Astyanax mexicanus: one gene and its partner. The protein of the gene in region 2 purifies or fractionates together with the protein of the main gene of each other region. This does not show direct contact. Links are inferred from orthologs where the notes say so. Each region holds a gene or a part of one and is shown on either strand. Other genes may lie near its edges.

Region 1 (10,429 bases), on a different chromosome or scaffold from region 2:
CATACAGCTCCTCCATCACCATCATACATCTCCTCCATCACCTCCACCCACCATCACACATCTCCTCCACCCACCATCATACATCTCCTCCATCACCTCCACTCACCATCATACATCTCCTCCACCCATCATCATACATCTCCTCCACCCATCATCATATATCTCCTCCACCCACGTCATACATCTCCTCCACCATCATCATACATCTCCTCCATCCACCATCATACATCTCCTCCACCCATCATCATACATCTCCTCCATCTCCTCCACCCACCATCATACATCTCCTCCATCACCTCCACCCACCATCATACATCTCCTCCATCTCCTCCACCCACCATCATACATCTCCTCCATCTCCTCCACCCACCATCATACATCTCCTCCATCACCTCCACCCACCATCATACATCTCCTCCATCACCTCCACCCACCATCATACATCTCCTCCACCCACCACCATACATCTCCTACATCTCCTCCACACACCATCATACATCTTCTCAACCCATCATCATATATCTCCTCCACCCACCATCATACATCTCATACTCATCTCCTCCATCACCTCCAAACACCATCATACATCTCCTACATCTCCTCCACCCACCATCATACATCTTCTCAACCCATCATCATCTACCTTCCCTTTACTACACACTCATTCCCAGAGCACATCCATCTCCTATATCTCCTCCACCCACCATCATACATCTCCATCACCTCCACCTCCTCCATCCACCACCATACCTCCCCTTCATCTTCTCCGCCTCCTCCACCCACAATCATACATCTACTCCATCACCTCCACCTCCTCCACCCACCATCATACATCTACTCCATCTCCTACACACCATCATCTACCTTCCCTTAACTACACACTCACCCCCAGAGCACATAAATCTCCTCCATCACCTCCACCCACCATCATACATCTCCTACATCTCCTCCACAGAGTGACCAGAACCTCTCTACTCTGAGGGACATTTTACATCCTACCAATAAAATGGGTGTTCTAGAAGATGATAGGCAGATGACAGGAAGAGGACAGGAAGAGGACAGGAAGATGATTCTGAAATACTCACAGCGAGCGTTCCTGTAGAGCAGAAACGGGTCCTGAAGCTGGAAGTCCAGGTCTTTGGTGATTGGTTCAGTCAGGTTCTCCATACTGAGGCGGTTCATGATGGTAAAGCCATGCTTCGGAGACGCGAGTCTAAAACACAGAGAATGAAACGACTGTAATGTTAACTGATGCGGGTAGGGCCTGGCAATGTGGGGAGAAAAAAAAAATAATAATAATATTGATATTCTTTAAATATATGATTCTCAGATTTTTAGTTCTTATGTAGCTAACAATTTGTTTCATTAAGCTTTATTAATTTTATTAAATCTACTGAGACTCACTCTGGAGCCTCTATATGTAAAAATCTACAATTTATTTTATTATCATACTTTAAAATCACTTTAAACACCAAAAACGATGGTTAAGCGATCTAAAGTGCTGCCACAATTATCGGGAGATCGCTGGTTCGAATCCCGGTCATGCAGCTTGCCATCAGCTGCCGGAGCCCTGAGAGAGTAGATGTTTGCATTGATGGCGCTCTTAGGGTGATGTTGATCAGCACGAGGCTGCGTCTGTGAGCTGATGTATCAGAACCAAATTCATCAAATGAATTTGATTAACCTCTCAGCCCTGGAGAGGACTCTGCATAGTGCTCCAAAGATCCCATCATCAATATGAGTAAGAACTTTAGGAGAAATGTAATAAATTACAGAAATAAATGTTGAAACATTGCAGAAACATGTGGAAACGATGCCACAGCTAATTCATGCCGTAATTAAAGCTAAAAGTTTCCATATTTTCCTCTCTGATCTGCTCTAAGCTGCTGTGAGAGAACTTTGTTTCTGTCAGTACATTGTTTTTCTGCATGGAAGCATCACCCAATCACAGAGGCATTCAGAGAACAGGAAGACGATTTGTTTAACTGCACTTCAGCAGCCACTGTACTGCAGACATGTTTAATAACAGCGCTGAAACAGATGAGGAGTTCGGCTCCAGGAGCTGCTGCACATACCTGTCGCACTATTCACTACCGCCATCTTTCACACCTCATAAATCACACCATGAATCCAGTGCACTTTTCACTTTCTCCACTATTTAACTCTTATCTCTCTCTATAGTGATCATGTTTATTACCTCGTATACACAAACAACGTCCCCTCAATTTCAGTCTTCTCCTGAAAAACAGAACAAAATAAGAGTCAGTTAATTTCAGTCTGTCTTATTGGGGTGGGCGATACGGCCCTAAAATAATATCACGATATTTCATGGTATTTTTATACAATATAACGATACTCTTGGCGATCATGACAAAACAATGAATTGTAAAAAAAATCTAAGAATACACTACTGCAACAAAATTCAAATTTAAATAAAATTTTATTATTGCATACGATACGGCACACGCCTAACTGAGATAAATACAAAAAAAAGAGAATAATTTTATCAGATTTGTAACAGAAGTAAATGATCCACAATATCATGATACTACTACTACTAATAATAATAATAATGCTCCTAAATATCTCCGTATATACAGGATTAAAGTAAAATAAATGATACTGGACAGATATAATCTGTCTCTAGTAGATATATAATTGGAAATGAGAACAGTGTGAATTTTTCTTTTGATAAAAAAAGTAGATAATTAGGGGTGGGTGATATTGCGCCATATTACAGGGTATAATATCTATCGTTCACCATATTAAAAAATGTTGGCGATATTATTGCATACAATACGATATGCATTTAAAACAAGCAGTAAATCAGTGAGAAAGCTAAGCTAGCTTTCTATCTAATTCTATTTTTATTTAAAGCTCACCTTCCGTCGTTTTTTCTTTCATTTTAAAATGTCTAGTTGTGGTCTCTAGTATGAATGAATGACATGTGAGCCGTTTTTGTAAAAAAAAAAGTGCTCAGGTGTCTCTGTATAGCTCTTTTTTAATGGACTGTTTTAGGGGTGTGTCCAAAATGACCGGATTCCAGCTTTGCTCATGAATATTCATACATGCAAACAGCATGCAAATATCTCTCCTCTGATTGGCTAGGAGCACTGCGACGCCCCTCCGCCGCTCTGCCGCTCACTGCCTCCCACCTCCTAACTGATGAGCGGTGATGTTGCGTCGCTTCAGCTCCGCCTCTGGGAGTTTCTCGAGCCAAGGTGGGCTGGTCTGTGAGTTTCTGCCTACGTAGGCAGAAAGATAATTCAAAATTCACCCGTTTTTCGGAGGGGGGGAGGGGGGATTTCTTTGCTTAGCTCCTGCAGACAATGGGGGCTGCAAAACAGTTTAATGTGCAGGTGTACACATTCAACTCGGAGAGACCTACTGTATTCCACAAAAAAACAAGAAAAATTGGATTTTCGCGGAAGGTGAGCTTTAATATTAATTTTATATTTTAAGACAAAGATGTGAAAAGTATCTCCATTCATACTCTGTAGGTAGAAGTATAAATACTAGAATTTAATAAAATACTTCTGTAAAAGTTAAAGAAGAATCAACTCAAGCTTTTTACTCTTTTAGTAAAAGTGTTTAAAAAGTACTGGATTTAAAACTACTTAAAGTATAAAAGTAAAAGTAATATCCTATATTGCACTAGGCCCCAACCCCCTCCCTAAAACACATTTTACTAAAAGCTATAATAACTATAATGTCAAAATATTAAAATGTTAATGTTGATAATGTATATATATTTTTTGCATTAGGCTCTTCCCTGCTATGCAGTTGCTAAGGTGTTGCTAAGTGGTTGCTGAGGTGTTCCTGGTGGTTTGCTAGGTGTATGCTAAGGTGTTGCAATGTTATTCATGCTGGTTGCTAAGTGGTTGCTAGGGTGTTACTATGTATGGTATCTGTGGTGGTTGCAATGGTGTTGCTAAGTGGTTGCTTAGATGTTGCAAAGCGGTTACTAGGTGTGTGCTAAGGTGTTGCAATGTTATTCGTGCTGGTTGCTAAGTGGTTGCTATGGTGTTTCTAAGTGGTAGCTAGGTGGTTGCTAAGGTGTTGCTACAGTATCTGTGGTGGTTGCTATGTTGTTGCTAAGCGGTTGCTAGGTGTATGCTAAGGTGTTGCGATGGTCTCCAAGCTGGTTGCTAAATGGTTGCTATGGTGTTGCTGTAGACTCACCCACTCGTTAGTCTCGTTATTAAAGGTGTAGAGGGCGACCTGACTCGCCACATCCACGATATTATTAATATAGGGGTCCTGTCTCTGCAGAGCCGCCAGACTGATGTCCAGACCCTTGGTGGTGAGACAGGTAACCCCACCAAATGAGCTCATGGCTGTTCAGAGCTGTCTCACTCTCTCAGCCCAAAGGGAAATTCAGAGCTGTCTAACTATCTCAGTCCAGAGGGAAATTCAGAGCTGTCTCACACTCTCAGTCCAGAGGGAAATTTAGAGCTGTCTCACTCTCTTAGTGCAGAGGGAAATTCAGAACTGTCTCACTCTCTCATACCAGGGGGTTCCAGAGCTGTCTCACTCTCTCAGTCCAGGGGGAAATTCAGAGCTGCCTCACTCTCTTAGTTCAGCGGTATTCAGAGCTGTCTAACTTTCTCAGAGCTGTCTCACACTCTCAGTTTAAAGGGGAAATTAAGATCTGTCAAACTCTGTCAGTCCAGCGGGGTTCAGAGCTGTCTCACGCTCTCAGTGCAGAAGTAAAATCATACCTGTCTCACTTTCTCAGTCCCGCAGCATTCAGAGCTGTCTCACTTTCTCAGAGCTGTCTCACAATCTAGGTCCTAAAAGGAAATTTAGACCTATCTCAATATCTCAGTCCAGCGGCGTTCAAAGCTGTCTCACTCTTCCCTCAGTCCAGCAGTAGGGGGTTCAGAATTGTCTCACTCTCTCAGTTCAGACACGCTCAGAGCTGTCTCACTTTTTCAGACCAGTTTCATTCTCTCCATCCAGCGGGAAATTCAGAGCTGTCTCACTCTCTCCTCAGTCCAGCGGCGTTTAGAACTGTTTCTCTTTCTCCTCCGTCCAGTTGTAGAGGGTTCAGAGCTGTCTCTCTCTCTCAGTCTGTAGCGGTGGAGGGTTCAGAGCTGTCTCACTCTTACCTTAGTCCAGCGGTAGGGGGTTCAGAGCTGTCTCACGCTCTCAGTCTGTAGCGTTAGGGTGAAGTGTTGTGTTGGTCGCAGTTTCGTTAATAAAACTACAGGAATAAAAGTCCGGCTGTTTTCCGGAGCGGCTCCTCAGATAAACACAGTATTACATACAGCAGAAATAAGAACTGGAGTTATTTACTCCGGTTTAAAAGCGCTTTAATCCGGTTTATTTCATCCAGCAACATCTCGCTGTAACTTCTCCTCTTCTTCTCCTGAACTGAAGCGGCGGATCTGTGGAGACCCGCGGAGCACAGCGCCCCCACCCGGCCGAGAACAGCACCGCCCGCCGCTCACAGTGAGGAGAGTGAGTGAGTGAGTGTGTGCGTGTGTGTGTGTGTGTGTGTGTGTGTGTGTTTAAAGACACCAGTCTTCTCATTCAGCTTTTTTTACATTTATAAATATGTTAAAACAAAAAAACATATATATATATTTTCATGCAGTAAACATAGAAATCAAATAATAATTTATTTATTGATGAATTAAGTTTATTTTACTGCTTAGGAATTATTTGTAAAACAAAATTCATATAAAATATGTGTAGAATGAACATACAATGTTTTTATTGTTTTGCTGCAGTAGACATTACAAATCCAAATAATATTATATTAATTAATATATAAAGTTTATTTATTGATCATTTTAAATGCATTGCAGACAGAAAAAAACATTCATATATATATATATATATATATATATATATATATATATATATATATATATATATATATATATATATATATCACTGGAAATAATTCAGGTTTGAATAGGTTAGTTAAATAATGATAATAATGATAATCCACTCTAACTAGCTCATATTATCTACTGAACCACTAAGCGAATAAAATGAATAACCTTTCAGCAAACAAAGGTGTAGCTGATTGTGATGAGTGTTTACATGATGGTTAGCTTTTGTCAGAAAATTAGAATATTATATAAGACTAATTGGTACTTTTGGCAGTGTGTGCAGTGTGCCAAGTCCTGCTGGAAAATGAAAGCTGCATCTACTGAGTTTCCCCACGGCTTCTGAATCTTTACATTCAGAATATCTCCAGTTTTGTCACAGAGCTAAAGAAAGCTCTGAATCTTCTCGGTGGAGGTGGTGATGGTGGTGATAGCAGCAGCAGTTGCTAAGCAGTGAGTGAAGAGCCGAGGAAATAAAGCAGAGTTTAGAATTGATCAGTAAATAAAAGAGGTGGTTAAATGAGCTGGAGACAGTAATGATGAACTCTTTGATCCTATATATTTATATTTTAGTGCAATTCAGTTTTCTGTTGAAGCGAGTGTGGCATTAGAGGAAATTCTGCAATATAGCTTAAAATAAACAAGTAATTTGTATTTGGGCTATTCCACTGAATGGGTACCATTTGCTTGTTTTTTCCAAATTAAACATATTTTTTAATATATTTTTTTTAATTCTCAGTATTCTAACTCTGAGTCTAAGCAAGTTCACTAATTCCTTTGATTTTCTCTCAAGAAAATATTTGTTTTAAAGAAATGGTTATAGACTGCATGTTCAAATAATTGATATTTATGACAAAAAAAAATCACTCCTGTTACTGGCACTCACTCCTGTTAATTGCACAGTTGTGGGTTGTGGCTCCGCTTAGGTGTCTTTGTTGAGCAATTTAACTCTTTTCTAATGTTATGTTGACTTAGCTGACAAAATGTTGCCTGATTGTACCCATAAGAATAAAAAAAAATTATGCTTATACATAAAAGAACAATACGATTAAAGATTAAAGTGTTCTGTTTATTATTTGTAAACATTTTTTTTACAAACAATAGCAACACATCACTTAAAACAACACATTTAAACAAATAAAAATGAAGTTCTTATGTAAAAAAATAAAAGTCTGAATCATAAACGAGAAGCGCTAATATATTTGAACAATATCAAGATTTTTGTTTACAAAAGTCCATTAAGAAATACATTTTTTGCGCATACGTTATAACGATGTTTAGGGTAGCAATACCACCACAGACCACCGGGGGCGCCGCCAACAGGTAGAAAAGCAGTCACATGCATAATATGCCACTGGCTAATATAAATATATGTAGTTTTTTTGTGCAGATCTGTCCTTAAAGCTTAATGTTGCTATTTATCATACATTATCATTCCACACATGTTCATGTACAGCTTTAATATAGTCTTTAATATTAATTTTACAATGTAAAAAAATCATTAAAAGAAAAGAAACACAATAGACAAAAGAAGAAATGTGTTCAGACTTTTGACTGGTGCTGTATATCTGTGCATGAATATACTTTGATGCATAAAACCAGACAAATGTTGTAAGTGGATCTCATGGGGAAGGGTGAATGTGGGCTCTGTAAGTAGGACACTTCCATCATGTGCTGATAAAAGTCCTCTTTCTTTTTTAGAGAGAGGCTTTTTAACAGACGTGAGTTCAGACGTGTTCATCAGGAGGTTTTATCACTGAGATGTTTTTAATGCTGTGTGATTTTTTTTGGGGGGAAGCTACAGTCTGAAGTGTGTGTGTTTGGTGTTTGAAGGCTTCGGGTGGAGGTGGTGTTTGGAGTGGTTGGGGGTTTGGGTGGAGGGGGGGGGGTGTCGTGTAGTGGGGTCTCTAGAGAGAATGGGAAATTTTCCCAGGGCCAAGAGGAAAAGTCCTGCTGCTAAACTCAAACTCTGGTAATAAGGCATTCGACGATGACAGATCCTAAACCATCCCGCACAGATTCCCAGGCCCTGCCAGACGCTTTATCAAACCCTCTTCCATCACGACCGCAGTGCAGCAGGAGAGGGGGATGAAAAAAGAAAAAAAGAAAAAGAAATAAAGAAAGAAAAGAAAGAAGAGGGAGGAGCTAATCAGAACTTACACTGAGTCCAGCCAGTTAAATATTGTTGTTATGAGCACTGAGAAATCCAGCAATTCCTAGAAAGCAGGATCATCTTTATTCTTTTCCCGAGTTCATATCTTTATATTTCACTGCATCTCATTCCAAGTTGCATTATTTTCTCTGTGTAAAATATTTCACTCTTCTACTCAGTGATAAAACTCCTGCATTCGGACTGCAAAAAAAAAAACAAAAACAAAAAAAACAGGAGGACCAGTGAGTTTTAGGCTCGTTAAGGCTTTTTAAGGTTTTTTCTCTATCACGTGACATCACAGAGTTCAATAGCTCCTCCATTTCCACTTGCTTTTGTGTTTTTTTTTTTTTTACGTGGATCTCCGTGGAAACCCTGGCACCCAAAGTGTTTAAGTGTAACTACGGTGCGCAGCAGTGGACAAATAGCTATTTTATAAAAACACGAGAAGAGGAAACTCAGAGATGTGCGTCCGGACGGGATTAAAATTAATGGAGGAGCACGGAGTTCAGAGAAAAACACCTTAACACCCCACACCTTAATAAGTCATGGCCACACATTATTATTTTTTATAGGTGTATATATATATATATATATATATATATATATATATATATATATATATATATATATATATATATATATATATATATTACATTTTTTATAGGTGACATCATGTAAAAAAGTATAAGTTGTGGTCACAACTAAGAGAGAACAGATCAAAATGCATAGCTATGGCTTATTAAGGAGTTATCTCCACCAACTACTGCACCTTTACCACCTCTATCATTTCCACCAATGCCACCAGTTCTTGCACCTCTACCATCTCCTCCACCTTCTGCACCTCCACCTCCTCCTCCAACACCACTCCACCAACTCCTCCATCTTCAACACCTCCTTCACCTCCACTTCCTCCTACACCTCTTCCAAATCCATTATCTACTTTCTTCTTTCACGTTCTCCACCTCCTACACCTTCACCTCCTCCACCTCTTCAAAATCCACCATCTTTTCAACCTCTTTTACTTTTTCCATTTTCACCACCTCTATCATCTCCACCTTTTGCACCTTCTTTACCTCCACCACTTTCTTTATCTCCTCCATCTCCTCCACCTCCTCCTACACTTCTTCCAAATGCACAATCTACTCCATTTCTTTCACATTTTCCACCTCCTACACCTTCTTCACCTCCACTAATTACCCCACCTCCTGCACCTCCATCATCTCCTCCACCTCTTTCACCTTCTCCACCTCCTACACCTTCACCTCCTCCACCTCTTCCAAATCCACCATCTACTCCACCTCTTTCACCTTTTCCATTTTCACCACCTCTATCATCTCCACCTCCTGCACCTTCTTTACCTCCACCACTTCCTCTATTTCCTCCATGTCCTCCTTCTACACCACCTCCTACATGTTCACTATCTCCTCTATCTCCACCACCTTTTGCACCTCCACCAGCTCCTCCCTTTCCACCACCTCCTGCATCTCCACCATCTCTTCCAACATCTCCTCCATCTCCTTTACCTTCACCATATATTCCACCTCCACCATCTCCTTTACTTCATCCACCTCCAACACCTTCTGCACCACCTCTGGACCTCTTTCACCTTCTCCACCTCCTCTACCTCCACCACCTCCTCCATTCCTGCAACTCCACAATCTTTCCTACCTTCTCCACCTCCACCAGCTCCACAGTTTCCTCCCCACGTGTGGAAAATCGTGGAGAATTTATAATCTGGAGTTCTGTAGCGCAGCAACATCTGGAAGCAGTCAGAGAGTCTACAGTACAGAGAGAGAGAGAGAGAGAGAGAGAGAGAGAGAGAGGAGGGGGTGACGAACCAAGCCCCCCCTTCCTCTCTCTCTCTCCCTCTCTCTCTCTCTCTCTCTCTCTCTCTCACTCCAGTATTATACTGCAGAGAGGCAGCAGAGGCGAGCCGCGCGCTCTCCTCTCCGCAAAGGCCACCGAGAAACTCCTGCGTTTTTTTTCCGTTCTTTTCTTTTTTCTCCTCCTCCCTCCCGCTCCCTCCCTCTCTCTCTCTCTCTCTCTCTCTCTCTCTCTCTCTCTCTCTCTCTCTCTCTCTCTCACTCTCACTCTCACTCCCTCTCTCCGTTATGGACTCGGCACGAGCCGTTATACCGAGCGGTCCGACCCCCGTCCCCGGGAGCAGCAGCGGCGGTTGCGGCGGCGGCAGGAGCGGCTGAAGCGGCTGAAGCGCACATGGAATCCATCAGTGGAGAAGATTTAACCCCGTGAGATCTGGAATCTGGAATACGCCAGCCCTCCTCTCCCTGCCTTCTTCTTCTTCTTTTACCTTCTTCTACCTTCTCTATTTTTCTTCTCTGTTCATTTTCTCTTCTTTCCCTCTCTCCTTCTCCTCGTCTTTTTCTTCTTCTTCTTCTTCATCATCATCATCTTTTTCTTCTTATTCTCGTGGCTG
Region 2 (10,429 bases):
CTGAAAACAAACATGATATAAATAAGTAAAGTCTAGTACAAAGGTGATAGTTACGGGTGAGTTTGAGGATGTTGCCTTCGCATGGTAAGGGACTGATATTGGCTGTGCCATAGGTGTTCACCATACTGAAAGTAAAGAGTTTGGGTCGAGACGCTTTCCCAACACTACCAACAGGACCATTCTCGGGCTCTGAGCCCTCATCCTCTCCGTCCACAGTTTCTGACTGGCTGCTTTCGGGATCTGGGCTGTCTTGGTGGTCCATGGCCTCAACTTCACCTGTGAGAACACAAAAGAATAATAGAATTACACTCTATACAAAAATAATAACAATGGAGAATCCTGTATCAGCCCAACAATAAAAAACACTTCAAACACACAAAATTAAGAGTGACATGTCACTTGATATGCTGTATCAATAACTTACCATCACAAACTCCATTGGGGCCATTGCAGGTTTCAGAGTGGCTGCTGCTTCCATTGGTAGACCCAGCACTACAGGATGCTCCATCGGACATTGGGCTGCTACAGCTGCTCACACCTGCACTGTGATTGGACGCTGAAACTCCACAATCCACTGAGTGGCTACTGTTACAAGAAGTGGCTGAAGCAGAAGCTCTGCTGTCCACTACAGTGCCCTGTGAACGCTTCACATAGCGCCTAATAAAACAAATAAAAACAATGTCTCAGTATTCTACCTTTTAGTGTACCCTAGTTTGTCTTTTCAGCAGTCGGAAATTCATAATTTGTCCAATTTCATTCATTTACTTTGGGACACTAAGAGAACTTAAGGGGAAACATTCAACAATAAAAGTGATCCAAGTAAAGCACCCACCCGATTCTCTCCAGTACACGCTCATACAATGTGTCTTGGGAGAGATTGTGGCGAGGAACAGTGACGAGGAGAGGCTGCCCAAACAACATGGTGCCTGAAGAGCCTCCGCTGTGCTTCATGTGTCTCTCCCTGAAGTACACTGGCAAATTCATTCGCTCACTGTCCTCCTCCAACACCTCATAGCTACAACAAATAAGCAACTTGTCAATTACACAAATTCACCAGCCTGAAAAAAAAAAAAAAATCCGAGTCCTGTGTCCAACTTACATAAAGATGATGTCTTTGTCTACAATGTGGTTTAAACCTTCATCCTTTCTGTAGATTTTATGGAAACGATGATTGTAAACATCTGCCACAACCATCTAAAAAAGGGTGAGAAAAGCTCAAAACTTCAGAATGTTTTCTGATGCAAACTAATATTAAAGCAGCCTTTGAATCCTATATAAACTGGGTATAAATGAGAAAAAATAGCAGAACATTGAAAAGATCAAACATTTAAAATCTTACATTCTCTGCAGGAACTCCAGACAGTTTTGACAAAGCACTGCACAGGTCTGCCACTGTGCCTATTTTCGGGACAACTACACGGTACTTAAAGGACAGAAAACAGGGAAAATCAAAATATGATTTGACCTTCAGTTCATATTATCTAACCACTTTTAGCAAAACAACAAAACCAAAATGCTTCTGCACTAGTAAAGTAGTGCTATTCAACAAGCACACAATAACCACCCCGTTTCAATGTATATAAACAAAAGCTGGAGAAAATAAGTACAATCCTATATAAACTTACTTTTGTGGGTCTGGATAGAGGGTCGGCACAAACCAGGATCACCTCCATGGTGCGGTCCTTTTTCATGGGCAGGGGCAGCGTGAGGTAGCAGAAAGGATCAAAAGTCACAGACACTTTGGAGCACTCAGGGCAGACTAAGGTAGACTTGAACAAGCCATGAAAGATATCCACAATGATGGAGTCATTTCGGAGCCGATGGTTTGTCCAGGCCTCTTTAGCTACAATCTGTGAATGTAAAGTAAGCAAAATCAACCAAAGAAAAAAAACTCATGAAAGAATATAAAACAAATGCACATGTAATGCGACGAAAGGCACTGTCCTGCAGGTTAAAACTGACTAACACTATTTTATATTTAAACACTAAATTAGAAGAAAATATATATGTCCATGCAATCAACCTAGTCATTAACAACCTGAAGCCCTGTTATTGTTTTTAAAAAGACTCCTCAAAATATGTACATGAATGTCCTTCTAGGTCATTCTTTGAATTGCCATAATGTGTGGTTTATCATCTAGAACTCAAACATAAATATTAATGATTGACACTTCTAGAACCCCACTGCTCTATTTGTCATATTGGTTTTAATGAATATGAAACGGCAGAGAAGAAAAGGAAAAAAACACATAGAAATTCAGGATGTGTGAGAATCATAGTAAGTAGTATTGGTTATTGAAGTACCTCATCAGGCCGGCCCTCTGCATCTCTTAGGGCCAAGTAAGGCTTCTTCTTGACACGGTTAAGGTCTTCATGCAGGCCATCCAGCAAAAAGGCCAGCAGCTCCTGAGAGTCCTGCTGTTGGTACCCTGAGAACTGGGGGGCAAAGCGTCCGACCTGTGTCTGCACAAAGAAAAAACGTCAACCTCCAGGATAAGAATTTTTACTGCAGTCCTGGCAGACTGTGCTACAAATTTTGATTGTCCACAACTGGCTAAACATGTATGAGCTATTTGTATGAATAGTGCTGCACAATACAGTGCAAGTCAAAAGATACAAGACACCCTTTTATTTCAGAAACTAAATATGGCATCTTTCAAGACGGTAACCAATTTTTAAATATTGTCTAAAAAAGCTGCACCGATTTGCCTGATAAAATAATTTTACTCCAGTCTTAGATGCAGGGAATTCATTATTAAAGTCATGACATGTACTGTATCACTGATCTCTGATGCAATCTAGTGAAAACTGTTGGCTTTACCTGAAAATTCATACTAATTTTAACATAAACAGGTTGAATGTAATGCGTTCAGCATAGCTGCTTTACTTACTTTGAAAGTGCGGGGAGCCACATAGCTGCTTCGGCTAAGCCACATCTGTTTAACTAAGTCTGCATAGGCCTCAGCAATCTCTCCTCGCATGCCTAACGGATTCTCCCGATTGATCTCAGCTTCATACTGGTCCTCCAAAAAATATTCTGTTAGGGGCGGTGAATTGCTCAAGCACTGTAGAAAAATGACACCGATTTAGAAGGGAGTATATTCATCATAGATAAGTGCATGTTTATACTATGCTGACAACTATGTATGTACTATATTGAGTTTAGGGGGACTCAACATATAAAGGCAAGTGTGTGTGTGTGTGTGTGTGTGTGTACCTGCAGTGCAGAGTTCATGAAGCAGGTGTTGCCCAGATTACTAAGGCCACAGAGGCCAGGCTGTGAAGCAGATTCTCTGTAACTGTAGGACGAGCTGTAGGAGTTGTATCCTCCCAACCTGAAGAAGATTAAATAGTCAGTAAAAATTATATTTTAAACTAGAAAATAAATTGTGAGGATAGTTGTATAGGGACAGATTATGATTTAAAGGATTAAAGTCACTGATTAAAAAGTTAAAAACGTTTTTTTTCCCTAATGCATAGAACATAAAAAAGGGACTGTGTGAAAACATACCGGTTACCAGAAGAAGTGCTATTGTTTAGCATGTAACTAGAATTGCTGCTGCTGTCTCCATTGGTCACTGTGGATGAAATAGTGGCAGACGAATTGGAAGAGAATTTCGGTGACGTAGTAAAAGTCCTAGAGGTGGTTGTACTGGACCTGAAAGCAAATTAGTTCATATAAATAAATAAAAATTAGTGACATCAAATACTATTTATGGATAACTATTTATAATGATGACTTTGAATATATTCACTTGGTATGAGAGGCTTGTCTGGGCCATGTGCCATCTTCATTCTTCCTTTCAATTACAAGCACCTGAAAGAAAACAGTTAAACTATGAGCTCATACAAATCAAAGTACTCGCATGTAAGCACTTTCCAATTGCTTACCAGACAGTTACAAAAAATAATTTTGGCACTGAACAAAAAGAAGCAGAACATTATTAGCTGTATAGAATAGTAGAATCCTACCTGGCCCTGAAAAAGCCCAGCATCCTGAACAGTGCTGTCAGGCTTGTTCAGCTGCTCGTATGTGTTGCTCATGTACTTGTTCCACAATCGAGTTTCTTTTTCTGATGGGATGTTAAAAAGAGACCTCATCTCCTTTTCAATTGTATCTGAGACAAGAAAACAAACCATTATAAATCAGCAGCTGTGATATGACATCAGTGTATTTTCCAGCCTTTCCTGTAATTGGTCACAATACTGATACTATTCAAGGTCTCATACCAATGGTATCAGCTTTGCTGAAATGGCGTGTAACCACATTGTCCATGTTGTCATTCTCACACAGATTCAGCTCCAACAGATAGACTTCCACTTTACAGTGCTTCACAAACATCCCATGCTCAACCACCTAGTTGACACATCAAAACAAAATGCATCAGAAACACATTTATCTGAAGAAAAGTATGTGCTGTGATTACAAAGAAAATGTATATATTTCGAAATAAAGTACAGACTTAAGCGAAGGCAGTGCTTTACCTTCCTGACAATAGGTTTCTGTCCCTCCAGACAGCCATACCAACTAACAAGCTTATTCCAAGCTTCTGTGGGCACCAAGACATAGTCTAATTCATCTATAAGATGATCTTTTAGCGCTTGGGTTTCTTGGTCTGCAATACAATAGAGGAGACAAAAAAATGTTATGTAGCCCATTAAAACTGAAGCAATCCAAAGACAATCCAAATCTTTATTGCTATCATTACACACCTATTTAAGAGCAGTGTTCATTACAACAGCCATAATAAGTATGTAACTGTAACTCCACCAGTGCATTTGGCTATGATTTTTTTTTTTTAATTAAAATAATATTTTATTTTACTCTTTTCCTCATTACTCAAACAATGTTAATCCTGCCATAAAACTGCCCTTTCCATTTAACAATATAAAGTACAGGCACTAGACTCAACTTATGACAAAATGCCAACAATGAAGTTAGAAACATTTTTTTTTTGTTTTGTTTTTTTCATGACAGTGGCAGGATACATCTTATTCTAAAGACAGACATACATATGAATTTATAATTAACTTACCTGAAAACAGTCCCGAGTTGTCAATGGGTCCTGGGTATAGATTATGTTCTCCAACATTGTACATATCCCAACTGTCAAAGCCCACATATTTTTTCCACTGTTTGAACCACCTGCTGTCGATCAAAAACCTACAGGACATAGAAGGTTGGGTAGAGATTATTAAATTAAATTAGTGTTACAAGACTTACAAAGGCAAACAATCAAACCTTATCTTAATCTGATTAGGTAGTTTGCTCACTTATGGTAAACATTTGTTGTAATTCTTAACTACTCACAAAAACACAACACAAAAGTGAACTCTAATGCACTATTTAGCATCACCAATATAGAAACTGAAATAGAAATCCTTAATCGTCTCTAAACCAGGAACCTGTTCTACTGCATAAGCTTGTTAGCAAAGGATTCCATTTGACTAAGGCACCTGAATTATTTTGTTTGTGGTTTTGTTTTAAGTTGGGCTGGTCTTTGGACATAATCTAGAATGGGAACGCTCATGAAGCCATATCAAGAAAACCACTGTCATATGGTTAGTTAAATTAGCTAGGATAGCTAAAAACCCACCAGGCAGCACACTGCTAACTTTACTGACTGACAGCTAAACCGGCCGGTCAAGCAGGCGGGCATGTCTGTTGATTGACTGTAGCTACAAATATAAAGTGACGTTACGACGATATAGGTTAACATTGTGTGACAGCCAACTAATCTAGTTAACTTTACTCACTTTTTAAGGTTATTTGCCACGGACTATCTGTCTTTGGCTGCCAGTTTGCACAGGCACTGGGTGTTATCCAGTGCCCATGACAAAGCAGTAGCTTGCTAGCGTATGTTACTAACTAACATGACTGATATGTGCACTTATCTATCTAGCTGACCACACAGAACAGCCTGGCTACAAAATTATGTGTCTATAAATTAGCTAACTAGCCAGCTAGCTAACCTATCTATCTATTTTAATGCTTAGTTCCCCATGTAGCCGGCTAACAAGCAAGCAAGCTAACCTATCTGATAATATCATGCATGCGAGCAAGCTAAGCTAAGCTAGCTAACTACGTAATGTTAGCTAGCCAACCTGCCAGCAACTCCTTATAAGAAAATTCTAGCTAACAGAATTAGCTAGCTACAACCTATCTGGGTTTGAACAGCACACTGATAAATAACTAAATAATTTGTAGCTAGGTTAGCTAGCCAAAGAATGTGTCCAATTTATATAAGTTTAGAAAGATTACTAGTTAGCTAGCGTTAGCTTACCTAGCTAAGACAGCGTAGGGTGGCTAATGAGAGAATACTGAGAATACGTGTGACACATACCGGTAACGTTAGCTAGCTAGCTAACAGTGTAGCCGACTAGCTAAGCTATCTAGTTAGCTAACATTAGTTCAAACATATAGCTAGCTGTTGGTTATCTTAGCCAACTACCACACAGCTGGACAAAATATCCAAATATTCTAATAGTTAATAACCTTGCCAGTGAGGCAAATACTATAACCACCAAATTACTTCACTGTTAGCTTTAAAAAGCCCAGCAAGCTAACTAGTTAGCTTAGCTGTCTTAGCATAGCATAGCTAGATATCTAATAGTTCCGTGCCCGTAGTGAAGCGGTAGGCCTGAGGAGGGCTCCTAGCCGAGGCTACAGCAGCAGGTTTGCTAACTTTGCTCCACTCTAAATCCAGCCCTACTTATTCATAGTCTCACCATTCATCTCCCTTTCGCAGTGTGGTCTTCAGCGATGATCCTATCGTCTGTTTTTGACTGTCGATAGAAGGTACCGCCGCTTGAGCCGGCCCGGGCTCCGCATCAGGGTCCGAAGCGTTCCCCGACTCGGGTCCGCCTCCCTCCGCCATCGTGCAGTGAGTGAACCCGGAGCGCGTGTGGGCGCGCAGCTGTAGGGAGAGCGCGCTAGCCCGGCTGGCTAAAAGCTAGTAAACGCACCGCACCAGCCCAGCAAGTAAACCCAGCAGCAGGACTGCATCCAAATGTATTCATAATACTAAAGTAGATTTATATTAATAGAAAGGTATGAGTGGAACGAGAAGGAAATAGTTAACTTTATTTCAGTAATAATCAAACCCTCTTAAATACTCTGTTAAATAATGCACATATGCAAACTTGGCTACAAAAGACAATTGTTTTTGACTAGAAGAGTATTTAGACTTTGTTCATCTATCAAAATATTGTTATTACTTTTTTGTTACTAACCTATGCCAGCCAACTAGCTAGCTATCTAACTATAAAACTCGTTTGGTGGGGCCTTGTTATATCGATCAAACAAATGTGGACCACTGCTTCAGCATTATTGCCTTATGATCAAACAGAGGCAACAAATAAAAATAATTGAGGTAAATAAAAAGCAAAAATAGCAAAAATACATTTTCTAAATATACTTCTTTTCATATTTAACATTTAGGAGACAGTGTAATAATCAAAAAAGTGGTTTGTTGCTTGAAGGCAGGACAATACCATACTGTAGAGGGTTAAATGTTTTTGAGAAGAAATAAATTAATCATTACAATAAAAGAGTATATTGTTAATAAAACTAACATTTATGACAGTAGATACCAAAATGACTTCTCTGGTGGTACTACAGAAATTGATTTGGATATCCAGTAACACAGATTAGCAGTGTCTGTAATATGTTCTGAAAAATACACGGCTATGTCTCCCCTGCTTGTGGAGATAATAGAACCCACATTAAAAATAATCATACAGATAGTATATAAGTCAAAATAATGTGTTTCTTAGTAGTCTATGAGAAGTCATAATTATGATACACTAAGTCAGTTATATGGAAGTCTGTTACACTTATGGCACACTAGCTAAGTCACTTAGCATGACTTACATTTCTTCTTATGACTTACAATCTTGCCATTGTATTTATTATACGTGAGTTTCCTTATCCCCTAAGTAGCAGTGATAGGCAACCATACATTCTAGATCTGCTCATGCAATATGCTCCACAGTGTACAACAAAAAAACAACAAGTTGCTGGTGGTTCAGAATAAAAAAAAAATCACTCTACCTCACAATTAATTATGACACAAACACAGTTTTGGTAAAACAAGTTCTATTATGGGTGAACATTTCCTGCAACTGTACGAGGGTGTCAAAAGTCACTTTACAAAACATAATAAAAATGTTACAAAACTAATTAAATAAATACAAAACTAAGCACAACAATGGATCATGCCTTTTGGAAATGTTAGAGACACTACCAGACTACGGGTACTTTAATACACAACAGACAAGGATCAGGGGCATAGTAGGACCACACTAAGCTGCTGTCCATCAGGGAAGCACTAGTGATCCCAAACATAATGGTCAGACACATATGACTGAACCTCAGTAGTTTTGGCTTGGTCCACTTTCTAAAATTCCTCCAATTAACCATGGTCCCATTAATCCTCTGGTCTAATAAAACAAAACCTACATGGATGCTTTAAAAGGAAACAAAAATACATTATAATAATGGTGTTTATGATCAGACCAGGGTGTAATACTACTGTAAGCTGTATTATCTTATTTTCATTCCACCTGGTTCAGTTTAACACTGCTTTCAACTCAACCAAGTGTATTTATAATCAAACTCGTACATTGTTTGCTCAGCAGTAAAAATAGTTTCACGATATATACTACCTGATGCCACAACAGCCCCCAAGGGTTGCATTGTAGTGTGACTGTATTTTTGCTCTATTACAAGTAGCAACTGAAAAAGAGTTAAGTTAAAACGTTAAGCTTAAAATCATAATCTAAACTACTTCTATAATACAAAAAGCATGGGATGAATGAAAAAAATGAAACAGTGCATGCACATGTGATATGTTGCAGTGAGGTTTATGCAAGTCATCAGGAACTAACAGGTGTCTGATCAGTTCCAAAACCAGTCCACACATTTTTTTTAAATTATAATTATATTTAAATAATATAATTATAATTAGATTATGGCTGATGAGATTTAAGTTCCTTAATGTAACAGGCCATTAGAAAATTCCTGTTGGCAAATCTTTGCTAAACATGCCAGACAGGTCCAAGTCCTTGCTCATCAGGTCCTCCTCCACACTCTCTAGTGCCCACTGGTGGTCTGTCAACTCCAAAGCCTCCCATTCTGCCTGAGGACAAGATAAAAGTGAGAGTTATAGAACATTCTGCAACATTAAGTGTAGCTAAAGTGACAAATCAATATCTAGGCTTGTTGGGTAAGTTTGCTCTGGCCTTTACTGTGTGCTAAAAACTGGAATGTGTTTTTTTTTTCTCAAATTCATAAGAATTCTCCACATTGATCATATTGACTGTGTGTTGTTTAAGGCATTTTATCAAAGTTAATACTTTTGTATAGCACTTTTTACAAACTGTTGTGATTACAAAGCATCTTTACAGAATTCCAGTACATAACAAATCATAAGGCAAAGATGTAACCCCACAAAACATTTAAATAATTTATATAACTTAACATCATTTTGTCCAGTTACCTTAAATGCTTTGTTTGTGTCTGCAGGCATTGCCATGGCAGCACCACTCATTTGGTCCTGCATGATTCGAGACTGATCCGCACCTATAACAGTAACATAACTTGTTAATAGTTTCTTTACTAAAAGCATTCAAACACAAACCTTAATGCCTTAAATGCAATAAAACAACCCCATCAAACAATTTTTAAAAACTGTATCTGCATCAATATAAAATTGAGAAAATGCATCATAAATTAGAAAGGAAGCTTCTTACCATTATCTTGCCCAAGGATCAAAGAATACATGCTTCTTAAGCCAAAAACATTCAAGAAATACCAGGATGCAGAGCTTACCCTATGGATGTAAATAGCAAGAATACTTATGACACAACCTTACTGGTTACCATATTAACTGCACCAGTTATGACATTACATTATTTGCACTGATACACAAAAGTAACAACAACAATACAAATTGGGTGTGTTCGTATAAAATTGTATCTGGAAACTACTTACCAAGATGCATCAAGTGAGAGCAACTCAATACCCTGCTGCAACATTGGCTTAAAACGGAGTGTGAGCGGAAATGGTACTTTAGCTAAGAAGAGAATATTTTTGTTGCTTAGTGTACAGACCAACTGACAAAATACATATTATATGTTATTACATGGTGTCACTGTTCATTCTGATAATCCAACAAGCAAATAAATATAATTTTTGTTCAAATTAAAAACATTCCTTACTTGTAACAAACCCAGAAAATGTCCAGTTGATCCAGCCACCAATGAGGATCATGGGAAGAACATTTGTTACATTGCCTTTCATCATGTCTGTCAACATGCTGGGGTCTGTAATGATATATCCACAGGTTAAATTAATATTTAATTAAACATTTCAAGAATATGAATATCAGAAAAATCAGAAAAATTAACTAAAATGTCAGTGAAGCAA

What was found. The genes of interacting proteins can lie anywhere in the genome.
Region 1: the proteins of usp4 (region 2) and dcp1b purify together in Homo sapiens (co-immunoprecipitation; 3 studies listed by BioGRID and IntAct, with this or other methods). This does not show direct contact. The link is inferred for Astyanax mexicanus from reciprocal best matches to the Homo sapiens genes USP4 and DCP1B.

Annotation. Positions count from the first base shown.
Region 1 is NC_064409.1:1,378,055-1,388,483, forward strand, and holds the start of dcp1b (mRNA-decapping enzyme 1B), read right to left. Parts: upstream 5,399-10,429; 5' UTR 4,336-5,398; coding exon 4,183-4,335; intron 2,239-4,182; coding exon 2,198-2,238; intron 1,214-2,197; coding exon 1,086-1,213; intron 1,071-1,085; exon of another isoform or gene 42-1,070; intron 1-41. UniProt on the Homo sapiens protein: May play a role in the degradation of mRNAs, both in normal mRNA turnover and in nonsense-mediated mRNA decay. May remove the 7-methyl guanine cap structure from mRNA molecules, yielding a 5'-phosphorylated mRNA fragment and 7m-GDP.
Region 2 is NC_064412.1:15,131,271-15,141,699, reverse strand, and holds the start of usp4 (ubiquitin carboxyl-terminal hydrolase 4), read right to left. Parts: upstream 6,915-10,429; 5' UTR 6,879-6,914; coding exon 6,730-6,878; intron 5,165-6,729; coding exon 5,037-5,164; intron 4,617-5,036; coding exon 4,486-4,616; intron 4,358-4,485; coding exon 4,231-4,357; intron 4,119-4,230; coding exon 3,973-4,118; intron 3,818-3,972; coding exon 3,756-3,817; intron 3,659-3,755; coding exon 3,512-3,658; intron 3,336-3,511; coding exon 3,218-3,335; intron 3,066-3,217; coding exon 2,892-3,065; intron 2,464-2,891; coding exon 2,305-2,463; intron 1,851-2,304; coding exon 1,626-1,850; intron 1,424-1,625; coding exon 1,340-1,423; intron 1,195-1,339; coding exon 1,100-1,194; intron 1,016-1,099; coding exon 833-1,015; intron 658-832; coding exon 425-657; intron 277-424; coding exon 55-276; intron 1-54. Other genes in the region: emc3 (ER membrane protein complex subunit 3), read right to left, coding at 9,012-9,140, 9,501-9,583, 9,754-9,833, 9,995-10,076, 10,222-10,326.